Saccharomyces cerevisiae S288C: one gene and its partners. The gene in region 2 interacts genetically with the main gene of each other region. Each region holds a gene or a part of one and is shown on either strand. Other genes may lie near its edges.

Region 1 (5,588 bases), on a different chromosome or scaffold from region 2:
TATTGACATGTTATTTGACTCTCATAGAGTCCCTAGACGACACCGTTTCGCCCACCGTTGCAATGGAAGGTGCAGACATTTTAACTTTGACAAACAAGTATATTGAAATCTTTCAACACCTGGTTAATTATCTGTTACAAGAACTACAAAACTGGAGTGAAAATGCAGAACAAGATTCCGATGACACAGATACGGAATTGCAAAGAGATACTTTGGATGAAGACGCGATGCAAGTTACCAGGGACGGAAGTGGTATCCGAACCAATGGACCTGTACAACCTCCAGCAGAAGTTATGGACGTTTCTGAACAAGTGACTCCGTCTTCACTTACCGAAGTACTCGCCAACTCTTTAAAGTTCAACCATGCTTTGATGGAATTGGTTATTGAGTCGAAAATATCTATTGAAAAAAATGTCGAAACGAAAATCTTGAATCCTATTCAGATTAATTTCTTGGAAGATACAACCAATAAATTCTATTTACAACTACGCGACATTATAGACTCCATTTCCGCCGCCATTCCATTAGATTTGAAGGAAATCGGTTTAGCCAAGACTTTAATTGAAGGTTTGAACATCATTAGCTCCGGAACCTTCGAGTCATTGCAAGATTTTGTTCTGCAAACCGTCTCCTTTACCGATCTGCTTGATGAAAAAGATGTACAGGGTAAGATTGATCTTTCGTTGATTAGAGTTGATATCGTTGAATTTGCCATTCTATGTTTAAACGATTATTCTTCAGATGCATCTTGGAAACTCTCTGGGTTATTGACCAAAGTTCTTACAGAGGCTAGAACTTTATTAACAGACTATAGAAATCAAATCTTGTTTCTGAAAAATCAGACATTGAACGAACAATTGAGTCACGTAGTTTTTCAACTTTGTGATGTCTTAGTAAATTCCTCCGATAATGAACTGAGAAGGTACGCTATAAAAGAATCAACTGAAAAGTCACAAAAAACCCCCGGGGGAGCGCATACTTTAAACATATTGATGAAAAACGCTAACGTTTTTCTGAATAATGCTGTCGCTATCTCATCAAAACAGTGCGGGTTACAAGAAACGATTATTGATAAACTGAAGAGGAACTATATCCATAATCAAGCCAAGGAAAGACTACTTTTCTTACAGAGGCTGGAACAGAAGTCAAATGAGGATGACGGTACTTCTGCTTCGCCTACCGCAATGACGTTCGATATGCCACCAGAACACCCTTTTTATAGCCACTATCGGTAGTGAAATTACGTACATATACATAAGTAGAAGATAATTCGTTGCGCATATGCTACAAGAACCCTTGGTGAAACGAAATTTGATACAAGTAAATACATGCAGGAAACATACATTACCTCTGAAACAAAGCCGAGACGGGGCCCAGCAGTCTTTTTTTAGAAATCGCGTGGCTTGGTAACGCGATAATGACGCGACACAGCCATTAGTGTGAAATTTGATTTTCTTGGCCAAACTAGGTATAATATTTGTTACAAATTATTGATTTTAATATATATCTCGGGTTCATTTTTTACGTCGGTACTCCAAAGGATCAGAACACTTACATTTTGAGGCCTACCGGACCTTGCAGTACTGCTTGTTTAAATACGCAGTATACATTTCTTCTTCTTCTTCTCTCTTCTTTCCTTCCTCGAAGAGTCACTAAATTAATACTGGGAAGCCAAACCAAAAAAACTATACAATGAGTGATCAAAATAATCGATCGAGAAATGAATATCACTCAAACCGGAAGAATGAACCTTCCTATGAACTCCAAAATGCACATAGCGGGCTATTTCACTCTTCTAATGAAGAATTAACAAACAGGAACCAAAGATATACCAATCAAAATGCCAGCATGGGTTCATTCACTCCAGTCCAATCTTTGCAATTTCCAGAACAATCTCAGCAAACAAATATGCTTTATAACGGTGACGATGGCAATAATAATACTATCAATGATAACGAACGAGACATATATGGAGGTTTTGTCAACCACCATCGCCAGCGTCCCCCACCAGCAACTGCAGAATACAATGACGTTTTTAATACGAATAGTCAACAGCTACCGTCGGAACATCAATACAATAACGTACCTTCATATCCACTTCCTTCGATAAATGTGATTCAAACCACTCCAGAACTCATACATAACGGCTCACAGACTATGGCCACCCCCATCGAAAGGCCCTTCTTTAACGAAAACGACTACTATTATAATAACAGGAACTCTAGGACGTCACCGAGTATTGCTTCTAGTAGCGATGGTTATGCAGATCAGGAAGCTAGGCCCATTTTGGAGCAACCCAACAATAACATGAATAGCGGTAATATTCCTCAATACCATGACCAACCTTTTGGATACAACAATGGTTACCATGGCCTACAGGCAAAAGATTACTATGACGATCCGGAGGGTGGTTATATTGATCAGAGAGGAGATGACTATCAGATTAATTCATATTTGGGTAGAAACGGTGAAATGGTTGATCCTTACGATTATGAAAACAGTTTAAGACATATGACTCCTATGGAGCGTAGAGAATATCTTCATGATGATAGCAGACCCGTAAACGATGGAAAAGAAGAATTAGACAGTGTGAAAAGCGGTTACTCTCATAGAGACTTGGGGGAATATGACAAGGATGATTTTTCAAGGGATGACGAGTACGATGATCTCAACACTATTGATAAATTACAGTTTCAAGCTAATGGTGTACCTGCATCATCCTCGGTGTCTTCTATCGGATCTAAAGAATCCGACATAATAGTAAGCAATGATAACTTAACCGCAAATAGAGCACTAAAGAGAAGCGGTACTGAAATTAGGAAATTCAAACTTTGGAATGGTAATTTTGTTTTCGATTCTCCAATCAGTAAGACGCTATTGGACCAATACGCTACTACAACAGAAAATGCAAACACTTTACCAAATGAGTTTAAGTTTATGAGATATCAAGCAGTTACTTGCGAACCTAATCAACTTGCAGAGAAGAATTTCACGGTGAGGCAGTTGAAGTATTTAACTCCAAGGGAAACGGAATTGATGCTAGTAGTCACAATGTATAATGAAGACCATATCCTGTTAGGAAGAACTTTGAAAGGTATTATGGACAATGTCAAATATATGGTGAAAAAAAAAAATTCAAGCACTTGGGGGCCGGATGCATGGAAAAAGATTGTCGTTTGTATCATTTCAGATGGTAGATCCAAAATTAATGAACGCTCGCTAGCATTACTAAGTTCGTTAGGTTGTTACCAGGACGGGTTTGCTAAGGATGAAATTAATGAAAAAAAAGTGGCAATGCATGTCTACGAACATACGACAATGATCAACATCACAAATATTTCGGAATCAGAGGTTTCATTAGAATGCAATCAAGGTACCGTTCCAATACAACTTTTGTTTTGTTTGAAAGAGCAAAATCAGAAAAAAATTAACTCACATAGATGGGCATTTGAAGGCTTTGCAGAATTACTGCGTCCCAATATCGTTACATTGTTAGATGCTGGTACCATGCCAGGTAAAGATTCTATTTACCAGTTATGGAGAGAGTTCAGGAATCCAAATGTTGGTGGCGCATGTGGTGAAATAAGAACTGATTTGGGTAAGAGATTTGTAAAGCTTTTGAATCCTTTAGTTGCATCACAGAATTTCGAATACAAAATGTCCAATATTTTAGACAAAACAACCGAGTCTAACTTTGGATTTATTACTGTTCTACCGGGGGCATTCTCTGCGTATAGGTTTGAAGCTGTGAGAGGCCAACCATTACAGAAGTACTTTTATGGTGAAATTATGGAAAATGAAGGTTTTCATTTTTTTTCTTCCAATATGTATCTTGCTGAAGATCGTATTTTATGCTTTGAAGTGGTCACAAAAAAAAATTGTAATTGGATTTTGAAATACTGCAGAAGTTCTTATGCTTCAACAGATGTACCGGAGAGGGTCCCTGAATTTATTCTTCAGAGGAGGCGTTGGTTGAATGGTTCATTTTTTGCTAGTGTATATTCCTTTTGTCATTTTTACAGAGTCTGGAGCAGTGGTCATAATATTGGTAGAAAACTCCTTTTGACGGTTGAATTTTTTTACCTTTTCTTCAATACATTGATTTCATGGTTTTCATTGAGTTCATTTTTCCTAGTCTTTAGAATTCTCACTGTTTCTATTGCACTGGCATACCATTCAGCATTTAATGTGTTGTCCGTCATATTCCTGTGGCTTTATGGGATTTGTACCTTATCAACATTCATACTGTCATTGGGTAATAAACCTAAAAGTACTGAGAAATTTTATGTTCTAACTTGCGTCATTTTTGCGGTGATGATGATTTACATGATATTCTGCAGTATATTCATGAGTGTCAAATCCTTCCAAAATATATTGAAAAACGATACCATCAGCTTTGAGGGTTTGATTACCACAGAAGCTTTCAGGGATATTGTTATCTCTCTGGGCTCCACTTATTGTTTGTACCTAATCAGTTCAATTATCTATTTGCAGCCATGGCATATGTTGACAAGTTTTATTCAGTATATTTTATTGAGTCCTTCTTACATCAATGTTTTGAATATCTATGCATTTTGTAATGTCCACGACTTATCATGGGGTACAAAGGGTGCAATGGCAAATCCGCTGGGTAAGATTAATACTACAGAAGATGGTACGTTCAAAATGGAAGTTCTGGTCTCTAGTTCAGAGATTCAAGCAAACTACGATAAATATTTGAAAGTTTTAAATGACTTCGATCCAAAATCAGAATCTCGGCCTACTGAGCCATCTTATGATGAAAAAAAGACTGGCTATTATGCAAACGTTAGATCTCTCGTGATTATCTTTTGGGTCATCACAAATTTCATCATCGTTGCTGTTGTCTTAGAAACCGGTGGGATTGCAGATTATATTGCTATGAAATCCATATCAACTGATGACACTTTAGAAACTGCAAAGAAGGCGGAAATTCCCTTAATGACCAGTAAGGCCTCAATTTATTTTAATGTAATTTTATGGTTAGTTGCATTATCGGCATTAATAAGGTTCATTGGTTGCTCAATATACATGATAGTAAGGTTTTTTAAAAAGGTTACATTTCGCTAAGTAGATTGATTACCCCTTTGTTATAAATAAGTATATGTGTTTACTATCATATAATAATTAATTAGTTGTAAGTATGGTATTTTTCAAAGAAACATTTAGTATTATTTTTAAAGGGTGCCTTTACCATAAAACCAAAAAAAAATGGCTTCTGAGAGAAAAACATAAATAATTGATAAAACTGAAACTCACAACACCAACTCTTCCGCTCTAAACACCCAAAGCTCAAAAAACGACATGTGCACATCTATATCCATAAACTTTCAAAAAAGTGGTTCATTCGCAAATTCATGAAGTATTATTTAATACACAGTAATCTGGCATTTCATACTATCATTGCTCAAATTATCCGCCGGACCCTTGAAACTGTGGCGCTTTTTAAGACGCATCTCCAAAAAAAGAAAAAGAACAAAAGAAAAAAAGCTGCAAATATATATACAAAACAGATTTCACGTTTATTGCTTGGGAGTAAGGTAACGATCCGGAAGCCTTGAAGAAATTTG
Region 2 (6,035 bases):
GAATGAGCTCCCACTTTTACAAACCCGCGGCTTGGCCCCGGAGCGAGTGTTGCAACTACACATCATTACCTCCAAGAACTTTGCTTATTTTTTCAACCGCTCAAGCGCCTACTTACAGCGTCAGCCTCTTGAGGAAAAATATACGCAATTGGCACAATTTCTCGGCCATTCATTTAAATTCAATATAACCTCCTCGCTCACGCTGTTCCCTGACACTACCGTGGCACTCCAGATCTGGTGCCCAATTGAATGCACCTTTCGGGAATTGCAACAACAGCTGGCCCATCCGAAGGTTGCAGCGGCTCCTGATTCAGGGAGTCTTGATTGCGCAATTAATGCTACCGTCAATCCTCTGCGACTTCTTGCCGCGCAAAATGGCGTCACCGTGAAAAAGGAGGAGGATAATGACGATGACGCCGGAGCCGTTCCCACCTCGTAAGACATGATCCGCGCAGCCCAACGCGGCGGTGCCAAATTGCAGTGACGTCTCGGAGTAATATAAAAAAAAAAGACCAAATAACCAAATTTAAGGGTGCTCTGAATATAAGGGAGTGGAACGTTTTCACACGAAGGAAAAGGGAAAGAGGGGAGTGGTAAGAAGCAAGAGTCAATGAAAGGTCTTCCTTCCTTCTTGATGCTAAAACAAGGATAGTCTGGAATGGGGAGGAGCATTCGGCGCAGATGCCGACATATAAAAGGATGGTTGCTTTGCAACAGTTACTTGATCTTGCTTTGTTCTCTTGATTAGTTATCCGTTAGATGCAAACTTTAAGTACAGTAATTTTGAAGTGAATTAAAAAGAAAGAGGTATTTACGTTTAACGCTTATACTTTCCTTTTTATCCAAGTAACAAGTAACACTAATCACTATAATCTACCGCTATGATTTTCAAAAGGTTCGTTAATTTGCTTGTGTTTTTATTCCTACTCGGTGCTGGCTTATTGACGTTTTTTCTTATTCTGTCAGGAGGCAGAGAATCTGGAACGCTGAAAAATTTTTATTGGTTACAGGCTGATACAAACGGCTTTAACAGCGCTCCATCGACCACGAGATGGTACAATTACAATTGGTGCGGCTACGAAGACGGCCAGCTAGCTAATTGCTCTAGCAGGGCGCCCGCCAAGCCTTTCTCTCCCAGAGACAATTTTGGTAACTCTGTCAATTTACCATCGTCGTTCAGAAACAACCGGGATACCTACTATTATCTATCCAGGGTTGGATGGGCCATGCTGCTGATTTCCCTATTTTTCATCGTACTGGCGCTGGTACCCGGCTTTCTGGCTACCTTCCTTCCTTTCAAGGCAGTGCCAGTCCTGTACTGTGTGTTGTCCTGGTTGGCCTTTTTCTTCATTATATTGGCTGCATGCTTGTACACAGGTTGCTATGTGAAGGCCAGAAAGACCTTCCGCAACAGCGGGAGGTCTGCAAGGCTGGGACCCAAAAACTTTGCGTTCATCTGGACTTCGGTCTTCTTGATGCTCGTGAACGCCATTTGGTCCACTATATTCAGTGCTACCCACAAGGCCCACTCTACCTACTCGGACCACGACATGTATGCCCAATATGAAAGCCCTTCTGTTGACACCGGTGCTCAAATGGAGAAATCCACTTACAATAGTGGGGCGACGGACGGCGCGGGCCCTATCACAGCCGCACCTGTGGTTGGACAGCCTCAACCTACAACCACCACTACTCCGGCTGGCAATGGCAAGTTCTTTCAAAAACTGAAAACAAGAAAGCAGGTGCCATCAGCTGAGTTAGAACCAGCTGGGGATGGTGGTCTTGCCGGGCCAGTGACGGTACGCGACTAGGAAGGAAATAATCACCATAAAATACTTCCTAATTTTTTTTTTCTTCCTACATTCGCAGTACCATAACTCTGCATCTACCTCCAACCGAAATATTTTTTTGTGACATGGTATAATCCATATGTATCGTGCTGAAATTTTTTCTTGGAGATTTTCATTTATTCTCCACCATTCTTTCTCGCCTCCCCTCCTCCTTTTCCTTCTAATAATAACTTAGTTCTTTTTCCTTCTTCATTAAAGAGACTAAGAAAAAAAAAACGTCAATAATACCCGGCACCTTAGTGTAATTAATAGTAATAATATTGAATTTAATTCTTTAATAATACCACCCCCTCAAGAAAATTAATATATAATACTAACTAACTCAAAAACACCTTTTTTTATATGTAACTGTAGAGATAAGAATAATACCGAACACCGTGAAGATTTCCCAGTGGAGAGCTATCAAGAATATCACCCAACCCAAGATATGAATATGAACGAGTCCATTTCCAAAGATGGTCAAGGCGAAGAAGAACAAAATAATTTTTCGTTTGGTGGTAAGCCCGGTTCCTATGATTCCAATTCAGATTCTGCTCAACGCAAAAAGTCTTTCAGTACTACAAAGCCGACCGAATATAACTTACCAAAAGAACAGCCCGAATCAACGTCCAAGAATTTGGAAACCAAGGCTAAAAACATTCTGTTACCTTGGAGGAAGAAGCATAATAAAGACTCGGAAACTCCACACGAAGACACTGAGGCGGACGCTAACCGCCGTGCCAACGTAACTTCTGATGTGAACCCTGTTTCTGCCGACACCAAGTCAAGTTCTGGCCCTAATGCTACTATTACTACCCATGGATACTCTTATGTCAAAACAACGACACCCGCTGCTACAAGTGAGCAATCCAAAGTGAAAACGTCACCTCCCACTAGCCATGAACATTCAAATATAAAGGCGTCCCCCACTGCGCATAGACATTCCAAAGGTGATGCAGGGCATCCAAGTATTGCAACCACTCATAACCACAGCACTTCCAAAGCTGCCACTTCTCCTGTTACTCACACGCATGGTCATTCCAGTGCTACCACTTCCCCTGTCACTCACACACATGGTCATGCCAGTGTGAAAACCACATCTCCTACCAATACTCATGAGCATTCTAAAGCGAATACTGGTCCATCAGCCACTGCAACTACACATGGACATATCAACGTCAAAACTACCCACCCTGTTAGCCATGGTCACTCTGGTTCAAGCACTGGTCCTAAATCCACCGCTGCTGCACAGGATCATTCCAGTACTAAAACTAACCCTTCAGTTACTCATGGACATACAAGTGTTAAAGATAACTCCTCAGCTACGAAGGGTTATTCGAACACTGATTCCAACTCAGATCGAGATGTCATACCTGGTAGTTTCCGGGGCATGACTGGTACTGATGTGAACCCTGTTGATCCTAGTGTTTACACAAGTACAGGCCCAAAGAGTAATGTTAGTTCCGGTATGAACGCTGTCGACCCTAGTGTCTACACGGACACAAGTTCGAAGTCTGCAGATCGTAGAAAGTACTCTGGCAACACTGCGACTGGTCCTCCTCAAGATACAATTAAAGAAATTGCACAGAACGTGAAGATGGATGAGAGCGAACAAACTGGATTGAAAAATGACCAAGTTTCTGGTTCTGATGCAATCCAACAGCAAACTATGGAACCTGAACCCAAAGCAGCAGTCGGGACAAGTGGTTTTGTAAGCCAGCAACCTTCTTATCATGATAGCAATAAAAACATTCAACACCCAGAAAAGAATAAGGTTGATAATAAAAATATATCAGAAAGAGCGGCTGAAAAATTTAACATTGAAAGAGATGACATTCTGGAATCCGCCGATGATTATCAACAGAAAAACATTAAATCCAAGACGGATTCTAATTGGGGTCCAATTGAATATAGTTCCAGCGCTGGTAAAAATAAGAATCTGCAGGATGTTGTTATACCTTCTAGTATGAAGGAGAAATTCGACAGCGGTACATCTGGATCTCAGAATATGCCTAAAGCGGGAACCGAATTAGGACATATGAAGTATAATGATAATGGTAGGGATAACTTGCAATATGTTGCCGGTTCACAAGCTGGTTCTCAAAATACGAACAACAATATTGACATGTCACCCCGTCATGAAGCAGAATGGTCCGGGCTTTCTAATGATGCCACCACCCGAAACAATGTTGTATCACCTGCTATGAAGGACGAAGATATGAATGAAGATTCTACTAAACCTCATCAATATGGGTTGGATTATTTGGATGATGTTGAAGACTACCACGAGAATGATATTGACGACTACTCAAATGCAAAGAAAAACGACTTGTATTCTAAGAAAGCGTACCAGGGAAAACCATCGGATTACAATTATGAGCAGAGAGAGAAAATCCCAGGTACTTTTGAACCTGATACGTTGTCAAAATCAGTGCAAAAACAAGATGAAGACCCGTTGTCTCCAAGGCAAACCACTAACCGTGCTGGTATGGAGACTGCAAGAGATGAGAGTCTTGGCAATTACGAATACTCGAATACTTCTGGTAACAAAAAATTATCTGATTTAAGCAAAAATAAATCAGGCCCAACTCCAACGCGTTCTAATTTTATTGACCAAATTGAGCCAAGAAGAGCAAAAACAACACAGGATATTGCATCCGATGCCAAGGATTTCACCAATAATCCGGAAACAGGTACTACTGGAAACGTAGATACAACCGGAAGGATGGGTGCAAAATCCAAGACCTTCAGCTCGAACCCTTTTGATGATAGTAAAAATACAGACACTCATCTCGAAAACGCTAATGTTGCTGCCTTTGATAATTCCAGATCTGGAGACACTACATACTCCAAATCAGGGGATGCTGAAACAGCTGCTTACGATAATATTAAAAATGCGGACCCTACATATGCCAAATCACAAGATATTACTGGAATGACTCACGATCAGGAACCATCATCAGAACAAAAGGCCAGTTACGGTTCTGGCGGCAATTCCCAAAATCAAGAATATTCTAGCGACGATAATATTGATGTCAATAAGAATGCGAAAGTTTTAGAGGAAGACGCACCGGGCTACAAGCGTGAAGTAGATTTGAAGAACAAACGTAGAACCGACCTTGGTGGTGCCGACGCCTCAAACGCTTATGCTGCCGAAGTTGGTAATTTCCCTAGTTTGATTGACCCACATGTCCCAACATACGGATTTAAAGACACCAACACCTCTAGTTCTCAAAAGCCATCTGAGGGCACCTACCCAGAAACCACTTCCTATTCAATTCATAATGAAACAACTTCTCAGGGAAGGAAAGTGTCGGTGGGTTCAATGGGTTCCGGAAAATCAAAACATCATCACAATCATCACCGTCACAGCAGACAGAATTCTTCAAAAGGGTCTGACTACGACTATAATAATTCTACTCATTCAGCCGAGCACACTCCAAGACATCATCAGTACGGTTCCGATGAGGGTGAGCAAGATTACCATGACGACGAGCAAGGTGAGGAACAGGCTGGTAAACAAAGTTTCATGGGTAGAGTGAGAAAAAGTATTTCTGGCGGTACTTTTGGATTTAGGAGTGAAATTTAAACACTTCTCGATTAACAAATTCCCAGTATTCTTTGAAATCTATTTTTCTTCCTCAATTGAATTTGAATAACTGTCTACGCGGACTCCTCCTATCTACAACTACAACAAATTTTAACCACTTTATTACCACTTTCCTCTTTCATTTATTTTTGTCTTTTATGTTGTCAATTTACTAGTATTTTTTTTTTTTTCATTTACGTTCAAGGTTTTTTATACTCATTTAACTTGTCTTAGGTTATTTATATATATACCTATATATTTATATATATATATATATATGTATGTATATATTATTATCACCAAATGAGAAATAATAGCTAATTTGATTTTTGATTATTTAAAATATTGGTTTGTTCTTTCTGCAAACATCTCGTTTGGTACGATATTAGTGAAAAACGATGTAATTATCAACACGTGCATTACCCAGCGTTATATTTTCATTACCCGGACGTGGTGTTTTTTGTTTTTTAATGTTTCTTAGACTTAAAGAGGAATGGAATGGTTATTTGGATTAAATCATAGAAAAGTACAATTAAGGTTACGGCAGGAGCCTCGAACCGGTAGTTTTACAGAAAATAGACCCATCTGGTGGCAACACTAAATCATTGAAATAATAG
Region 3 (4,463 bases), on a different chromosome or scaffold from region 2:
GAGTGAGTCTTGTCTTGACCTCATCAGGCTTTTCCACCTGTTGCAAGGGAGAGCCTATTTCAGCAATTGTGGCATTACTGATACGGCGGCTTGATCTTCTTTTGGACCCCATGGAAGGCTCCCTTCTATGTGATATAATGCTTGGTTGCGAAACTGGCGAAGTTGGCGTAGTTGATCTAGAAACTGGGGATGGCACGTTTGACTTAAACGAAGAGATCATTCCACTGAAGAACGAGGACGTCGAAGAAGTCCTTGATTGATCGTGCTTGATCTCTGTAGGGTGTTCATCGGCGGCACTTTGGTTTGTAATCACTACTAAATTCTTGCGTACGTCGTTGGTCTCTGTATTTAGGGGCACTTCTTGCAGTGACTCAGCTTCAGTATCGCCGGCATTGTCATTGTTACTTGCATGCTCAAAGGGGGGACCCAATTGTTTCACAGAATCAGTACTGTCCTCATTATCTGATACGGGTTCCCAGTTATCTACATCCGACATCACCACTAATCTTTTTGTGTAGTTGCCTTCTTCACCCTTTTCTCAGATAGCGAAATGGTTGAGTGTTTTAATATAATTGTCAAGATGCTTTATGAAAAAGGGTGGGAGAAACAAGTCCCCCTGCTCAGCGATACGCGATCTCTCTGATCTCAGACATAAAGCAAACATTCTATCATGAGTGACATTGAGGATGACGGTAATTGGTAATATCTGACCTTCTGACCTCCACTCAACACAATGCAGAAAGCTATCAAATGTTTTGAACCAAACATGAAAGAGATTCAGAAAGTTGCCAAGCCAACGTGATGTCACAGGTCAAAGTTTAAGTGAAGGCTATTGGAATCTGCGGATCAGACATTCACTACTACACGGATGGCCAGGTCAGCGTAAAGTAACCTGGGAAGCCCATGACTTTGGGCCACGAATCCAACGGTGCTGTTCTTGAAATTGAAGTATCTCAAACTACTGTAAAGCGGGTGATGCAGTAAGCATATAGCCCTCATACCCAAATAGGTTTACCAAAGAGTTTCTGTGAGGCCATTATAGTTTGCAGCTCAACATACCATTTGCTGCATCACTGACCGTGACGGCACCCTTTGTCAAGAGTTCGTGGTTAACGTCGACTGCGTTTACTGATTACCGTTACAGTGAATTTCTAGCAAGAGTCCTCTGTAGATGCCACTATTTGTCGCTCTCCATGTAGTAAGGCCGTCCTAGCTGAAGTGTGGGGAGTAAGCTGTAGTTATAGGTGCTGGAACAATTGATCTGCTGGCGGGTGCGGTACTCAGAGGGTTTGGTGTTCATGAGTACACATGATTCCAAGAAAGAGCAAAATGGACAGTTTATAAACGCTATGAAGAACTGCTATAATCAGAAAAAAAGGAAGCCTGATGGATTCGAGTCCTCAGGTACTCAAAAGAGCGTTGAGAATATGCTAAAATGTGTCAAGAACGGTGGAACAGTTAAGTAGGTTGATATCCACCCCTCGAATGAAAATGTGGGGACCCTCCCAACGAGATTCCTTCAGAGAGATTACATATAAAGTGAAATTCAAGTATGACGATGGTGACTACTCCTTGGCCATTGATTTGATGTCTAGGGATTGTATTAATGTCTATGAGTTGATTACCGATAGGCTACTGGTTGATTTCCTTTCAAAAAAGCTGCTCAAGCTAAGATAGGTAAGGTGTTTATAGAATTTATCGAACTGTATCTAAATATTTTTAATATTCTTGTTTTATTACTTTGTGGCTTTTGTATTCAGTCTGCACCCTGTTTCGCCATCGATTCTTATAATACATACATTTTTATATAAGATCACAGAAAATACGAAGACGTAAAAAAAGAGTTCCGAATGAAAGAAGAAAGAATCAAGCACAGGAAGACAAGAAACGATGTTGTTCTACTCGTTCGTGTGGTCTGTACTGGCCGCTAGTGTTGCTTTGGCAAAGACACATAAGTTAAACTATACCGCTTCTTGGGTAACTGCCAATCCTGATGGATTGCATGAAAAAAGGATGATTGGTTTTAATGGCGAATGGCCACTTCCAGATATCCATGTTGAAAAAGGAGATCGTGTTGAGCTTTATTTGACTAACGGCTTTCAAGACAATACTGCTACTTCTCTACATTTCCATGGTCTTTTCCAGAATACGAGTTTGGGGAACCAGCTTCAAATGGATGGTCCTTCTATGGTGACACAATGTCCCATCGTTCCGGGACAAACATACCTGTACAACTTCACTGTCCCAGAGCAGGTAGGAACGTTCTGGTACCATGCACACATGGGTGCCCAGTACGGTGACGGTATGAGGGGTGCATTTATCATCCACGATCCGGAGGAGCCCTTCGAATATGATCATGAACGAGTCATCACTCTATCGGACCATTATCACGAAAATTATAAAACGGTTACCAAAGAGTTTCTGTCAAGATATAATCCAACCGGTGCTGAACCTATTCCTCAAAATATTCTTTTTAATAATACGATGAATGTAACTTTAGATTTTACACCCGGTGAAACGTATCTCTTCAGGTTCTTGAACGTTGGGCTGTTTGTATCCCAGTATATCATTCTTGAGGATCATGAAATGAGTATAGTAGAGGTGGACGGTGTTTACGTAAAGCCAAACTTTACTGATTCGATATATCTTTCTGCGGGGCAAAGAATGAGTGTGTTGATTAAAGCTAAAGATAAAATGCCTACAAGAAACTACGCTATGATGCAAATAATGGATGAGACGATGCTTGATGTTGTCCCACCTGAGTTACAACTCAACCAAACTATCCAAATGAGGTATGGCCACTCGTTGCCGGAGGCACGCGCATTGAACATTGAAGATTGTGACTTGGACCGCGCCACGAATGACTTTTACCTAGAACCTCTGATTGAGAGAGACCTACTTGCTCACTATGACCACCAAATTGTCATGGATGTAAGAATGGTCAACTTGGGTGATGGTGTGAAGTATGCATTTTTCAATAATATCACTTACGTCACACCAAAGGTGCCTACTTTGACAACGTTGCTTACCTCAGGAAAGCTTGCGTCAGATCCTAGAATTTATGGTGATAATATCAATGCGCAGTTATTGAAACATAATGATATCATAGAGGTTGTTCTAAACAATTATGATTCTGGCAGACATCCATTCCATTTGCACGGTCATAATTTCCAAATAGTCCAAAAGTCGCCAGGGTTCCATGTTGATGAAGCTTATGACGAATCTGAGCAAGATGAAATGACCGTCCCTTATAACGAATCTGCGCCATTACAACCGTTCCCTGAGAGGCCGATGGTGAGAGATACAGTGGTTCTTGAACCTAGTGGACATGTTGTCCTGAGATTTAGAGCTGACAACCCTGGTGTCTGGTATTTCCATTGTCATGTAGATTGGCACTTACAACAAGGTTTGGCTTCGGTCTTTATTGAGGCACCCGTTTTACTTCAGGAAAGGGAAAAGCTTAATGAGAACTATCTGGATATATGCAAAGCCGCTGATATTCCGGTAGTTGGTAATGCTGCAGGTCATTCGAATGATTGGTTTGACTTAAAAGGATTACCAAGACAACCTGAGCCACTACCAAAGGGATTTACTACTGAAGGATATTTGGCATTGATTATTTCAACCATTATCGGTGTCTGGGGCCTATATTCCATTGCTCAGTATGGTATTGGCGAGGTTATCCCTAACGATGAGAAGGTGTACCACACGTTAAGGGAAATCTTGGCTGAAAATGAAATAGAGGTTTCTCGCGGCTAATTAAACAAGAAAATATAAAAGAAAAATGAAAGAAGTTTATATTCATATTGATGATTTGCAATCCTAAAAAAAATGTAGCACTGTAAATACTGCTTACTATTGAGTATTTTCATTTTGTTCATTCCATTCCCTATATAATATTCATACGTAATCAAATCTATTGCTTTTTTTTTCTCTTTTATTTCGTTGTTTTAGCTCTGACGTTGTGACGCTCAGCCAAGAACGTCACAAAAAAAGGATGAAAATCAAAAAACAAAATATTCAATAAGTGTAATATGAGAAGAGAAAAAAGAAAGAACAAGTACAGTTTCTAACATTATACTTTAAAAATTATTAAGCACAATGACAGCAATGAAAGCTATTGTCTGGAGACTTCCCAAGATGCCGAAAATCAAAATTACAAAAACTTATGAAGTTACGAAAATTACGGCGATATTGACACTAGTAGGATTTATAATGGGCCTTGAGGTGCCGTCATTGGCAACTTTTCTCACAAACAAAACGTTTAATGAGTACTTCAAGTATCCAACTCCTTTACAACAAGGTTTACTCATGGGGTCCACCCCCCTGGGTGGTATCATGGGATGTTTTATTTGCTGCATAATGAATGATAGATTCAGTAGAATATATCAATTTCAATCGGGAATAATAATATGGAATATTGTTACGTTATTGAACTTTTGTATTTGGGATATATTAGGTTT
Region 4 (3,192 bases), on a different chromosome or scaffold from region 2:
TTTCTCTCCCAACTGGGACGGAGATAGGGCCACCAGTGTCAAGAACCTTTTCACCACGGACCAAACCTTCGGTACCATCCATAGCAATGGTTCTGACAGTGTTTTCACCCAAATGTTGAGCAACTTCCAAAACCAACTTACCTTGAGGTGTTTTAATTTCTAAAGCGTTCAAAATAGCGGGCAACTCTGATTGTTCAAAATGAACGTCAACAATGGCACCAATGACAGCGGTAACTTTACCGGTGATTGGAGTAGATTGAGCAGCTGAGGCCATACATCTTTTCCACGAAGTGGATAGAAGCGGAGCGGATTGTTTGGCTGCTTTAAAAGCAGCACGGGATGTAGCAGTATATAGTCTTGGCAAAACCATTCTTTTTTTTATTTTTGTTTTCTCTCAAAGATTCAGTATAAATTGGATAACAACAGACTAAAAAATGAAAGAAAAGAAAGACAAATTTGACTTGAGGAGGAGCACTTTTGTCTTCGTTTATGAGGGGGGTTTAGGTTGCTAAAATTTGTGTTACTGTTTGATCTTTGCAAAATTTATCCAATTGGCCTGTCCTGGAGAGATAAAGAAAGTTTAAAAAAGGGCAAGTTAAAATGTTTGTTCTGTAATACAAAAAAGAGGTTAATGCAAAAAGTGCGTTCTTTATAAGCGTTGTATCTAAGAGCTCGAAGATGGGAATATCCTTGCGCTGCTTGGCCGGCGAGGGGCCCACCCGGCACGCGCTTGGAGGTCGCCGTTGATTGGCCGCTATATATCGCGAATCACGGGGGTGTGTGTGCGACCCGGTGCGCCGGGTGGCATATGGGCGGCTAATTGCGTATAAGATGATAACATCCCAGCGCATCACGTGAAAGGAAATACATATATATGTGGCTTTATTACTGGTTTAGAGTATTTTTGTACTGTGACTACTACTGTATTTCATGTAGCAGAATACACAGCCTTTTACTTCTGTTCTTTCTCAAAGGTTCAAGAAATAGAATAGCCAAGTGCCATCAAGAACTCGAACTAACTTTCGTAGAAGGAGTAGTATACAGTCTTGCTTGTCACAACTCTTTCAGGAGCTTTCTTTTTAGTATTATACACGATCCGTATGCTCATCTCGTGATATAGAAGTAACGCATTGAATGCAAAGAAAGGCAGATATTTTACCCTAGGTGTAACCAGAAGAGATTAGGAGGGCTTAGGGCCAGTATTTTATCTGATGTAGGGCAAACGAGTAAAATGTGTAGGGTATGGGCTAATATCAAGGGCTTCGGACTTACTGCCCCGCTCACAGAAACAGCCGCACTAATTAATTTCTTTTGTGTAACGTTAAAGTAACCCTGGAATCATCATTGAAAAATTATCATCCCAAGAGACAGAGATGTGCATGTTGACAACGCAGGCTCAATGTAGAATAAGATCTGACTACTTAGTCAATTTTACCTCTAGATCATATTAACTAATCTCATCTTGCACAAAAAACGTATCACTATCATGGAGGAAATTCCTGCCCTGTATCCAACGGAACAAGAATTCAAAAATCCGATCGATTATCTCTCTAACCCCCACATTAAAAGGCTTGGTGTACGATATGGTATGGTCAAGGTCGTACCACCAAACGGGTTCTGCCCGCCACTTTCTATTGATATGGAAAATTTTACTTTTCAACCAAGAATTCAAAATCTGGAGAACCTAGACCTGAAAAATAGGTGTAGGCTATTTTTTATGAAACAGTTAAATAATTTTAAAAGATCCGTTAAGGATCCATCGAAACTTATACTTAGGGAACCTTATACGATTGTAGAATATTCAGATTCTACTCATGCATCGGAAATACTAAAAAAAAAAGTGTACTTTTATGACGTTTTCTCTGAACTAATAAAAGACAATCGGACACTTACTGACACTACACAGTCATTCAGGCGAAAATTGAAATTTAGAGATATTTCCCAATTAAGAGGCGACATCAGTCTATGGAGGACCATTTCTAAAAAATTCAACGTACCAATCGGCTTGTTAAAGGAAATTTTTGAGAAATATATTGCCTCATACTACATATTTCTTCATTCACTGAACGAGAACGTGCACACGGCGCTGCATGCTGACCAGTATCCAAAATCCTTATTAAGTGATGACGAGGACGATTTCGATCTTGGGCCAGATTCGAATTCTGGGTCGGATTTTGAGGAGGACGATGATGATGCTTGTATTGTTTGTCGCAAGACAAATGATCCAAAAAGAACAATTTTATGTGATTCATGTGACAAACCATTCCATATATATTGTTTATCACCACCTTTGGAACGTGTTCCCTCTGGCGATTGGATTTGTAACACTTGTATCGTCGGAAACGGATATTACGGATTCACTCAGGACACGCATGACTATTCTCTACCAGAGTTTCAAGAATATTGTAAACGTCAAAATTCAAGGTTATTACCAGCACGAAAACTGTCTATAGATGAGTTGGAAGAGATGTTTTGGAGCTTAGTGACCAAGAATCGTCGCAGTTCATTAACGACAGTTAAATACGGTGCTGACATACATAACGAATTGCCAGGTCAAATTACCGGCTTTCCGACGAGAGAATTTATACCCAAAAATATAAATGGGGACGAATTGATAGACTACCTCAAATATTGCGATCATCCTATGAATTTAACTAACTTGCCTATGGCTCATAATTCGCTATTACCGTTATTTAAAAGAAATATTTCTGGCATGACTATTCCTTGGATTTACATAGGCTCCTTATTTTCCACATTTTGTTGGCATATGGAAGATCAGTATACCCTAAGTGCTAACTATCAACATGAAGGTGACCCTAAGGTCTGGTACAGCATTCCCGAATCGGGATGTACGAAATTCAACGATCTATTAAATGATATGTCACCAGACTTATTTATCAAACAACCAGACCTACTGCATCAGCTAGTGACTTTAATATCTCCGTACGATCCAAATTTCAAGAAATCAGGTATTCCTGTGTACAAAGCTGTGCAAAAGCCCAACGAATATATTATCACGTTTCCTAAATGTTACCATGCTGGTTTTAATACAGGTTATAATTTTAATGAAGCTGTCAATTTTACTATAGATTTCTGGCTACCATATGGATTTGGTGCGATTACGGATTATAAATTAACTCAGAAAGCATGTGTTTTTGATATGTTTGATTTAATGATCAATGTTTTGGACAA

What was found.
Region 1: mutations in HBT1 (region 2) and CHS1 are lethal when combined (synthetic lethality), as found in Saccharomyces cerevisiae (2 studies listed by BioGRID, with this or other methods).
Region 3: mutations in HBT1 (region 2) and FET5 together harm fitness more than expected from each alone (negative genetic interaction), as found in Saccharomyces cerevisiae (2 studies listed by BioGRID).
Region 4: mutations in HBT1 (region 2) and DMO1 together harm fitness more than expected from each alone (negative genetic interaction), as found in Saccharomyces cerevisiae (2 studies listed by BioGRID).

Annotation. Positions count from the first base shown.
Region 1 is NC_001146.8:274,810-280,397, forward strand, and holds CHS1 (chitin synthase CHS1), read left to right. Parts: upstream 1-1,692; coding exon 1,693-5,088; downstream 5,089-5,588. Other genes in the region: YNL193W (uncharacterized protein), read left to right, coding at 1-1,235. UniProt on the Saccharomyces cerevisiae protein: Polymerizes chitin, a structural polymer of the cell wall and septum, by transferring the sugar moiety of UDP-GlcNAc to the non-reducing end of the growing chitin polymer. Required for mitotic division septum formation during adverse conditions.
Region 2 is NC_001136.10:56,648-62,682, reverse strand, and holds HBT1 (Hbt1p), read left to right. Parts: upstream 1-2,277; coding exon 2,278-5,418; downstream 5,419-6,035. Other genes in the region: telomere-binding protein CDC13, read left to right, coding at 1-439; FMP45 (Fmp45p), read left to right, coding at 882-1,811. UniProt on the Saccharomyces cerevisiae protein: Polarity-determining protein which forms a conjugate with the ubiquitin-like modifier HUB1. Involved in bud site selection and cellular morphogenesis during conjugation. Required for survival during stationary phase.
Region 3 is NC_001138.5:47,249-51,711, forward strand, and holds FET5 (ferroxidase FET5), read left to right. Parts: upstream 1-1,890; coding exon 1,891-3,759; downstream 3,760-4,463. Other genes in the region: LAM5 (Lam5p), read right to left, coding at 1-496; YFL041W-A (uncharacterized protein), read left to right, coding at 1,486-1,677; YFL040W (uncharacterized protein), read left to right, coding at 4,102-4,463. UniProt on the Saccharomyces cerevisiae protein: Iron transport multicopper oxidase, which is required for Fe(2+) high affinity uptake. May be required to oxidize Fe(2+) and release it from the transporter. Essential component of copper-dependent iron transport.
Region 4 is NC_001142.9:644,785-647,976, reverse strand, and holds DMO1 (Dmo1p), read right to left. Parts: upstream 852-3,192; coding exon 501-851; downstream 1-500. Other genes in the region: ATP2 (F1F0 ATP synthase subunit beta), read right to left, coding at 1-370; JHD2 (histone demethylase), read left to right, coding at 1,487-3,192.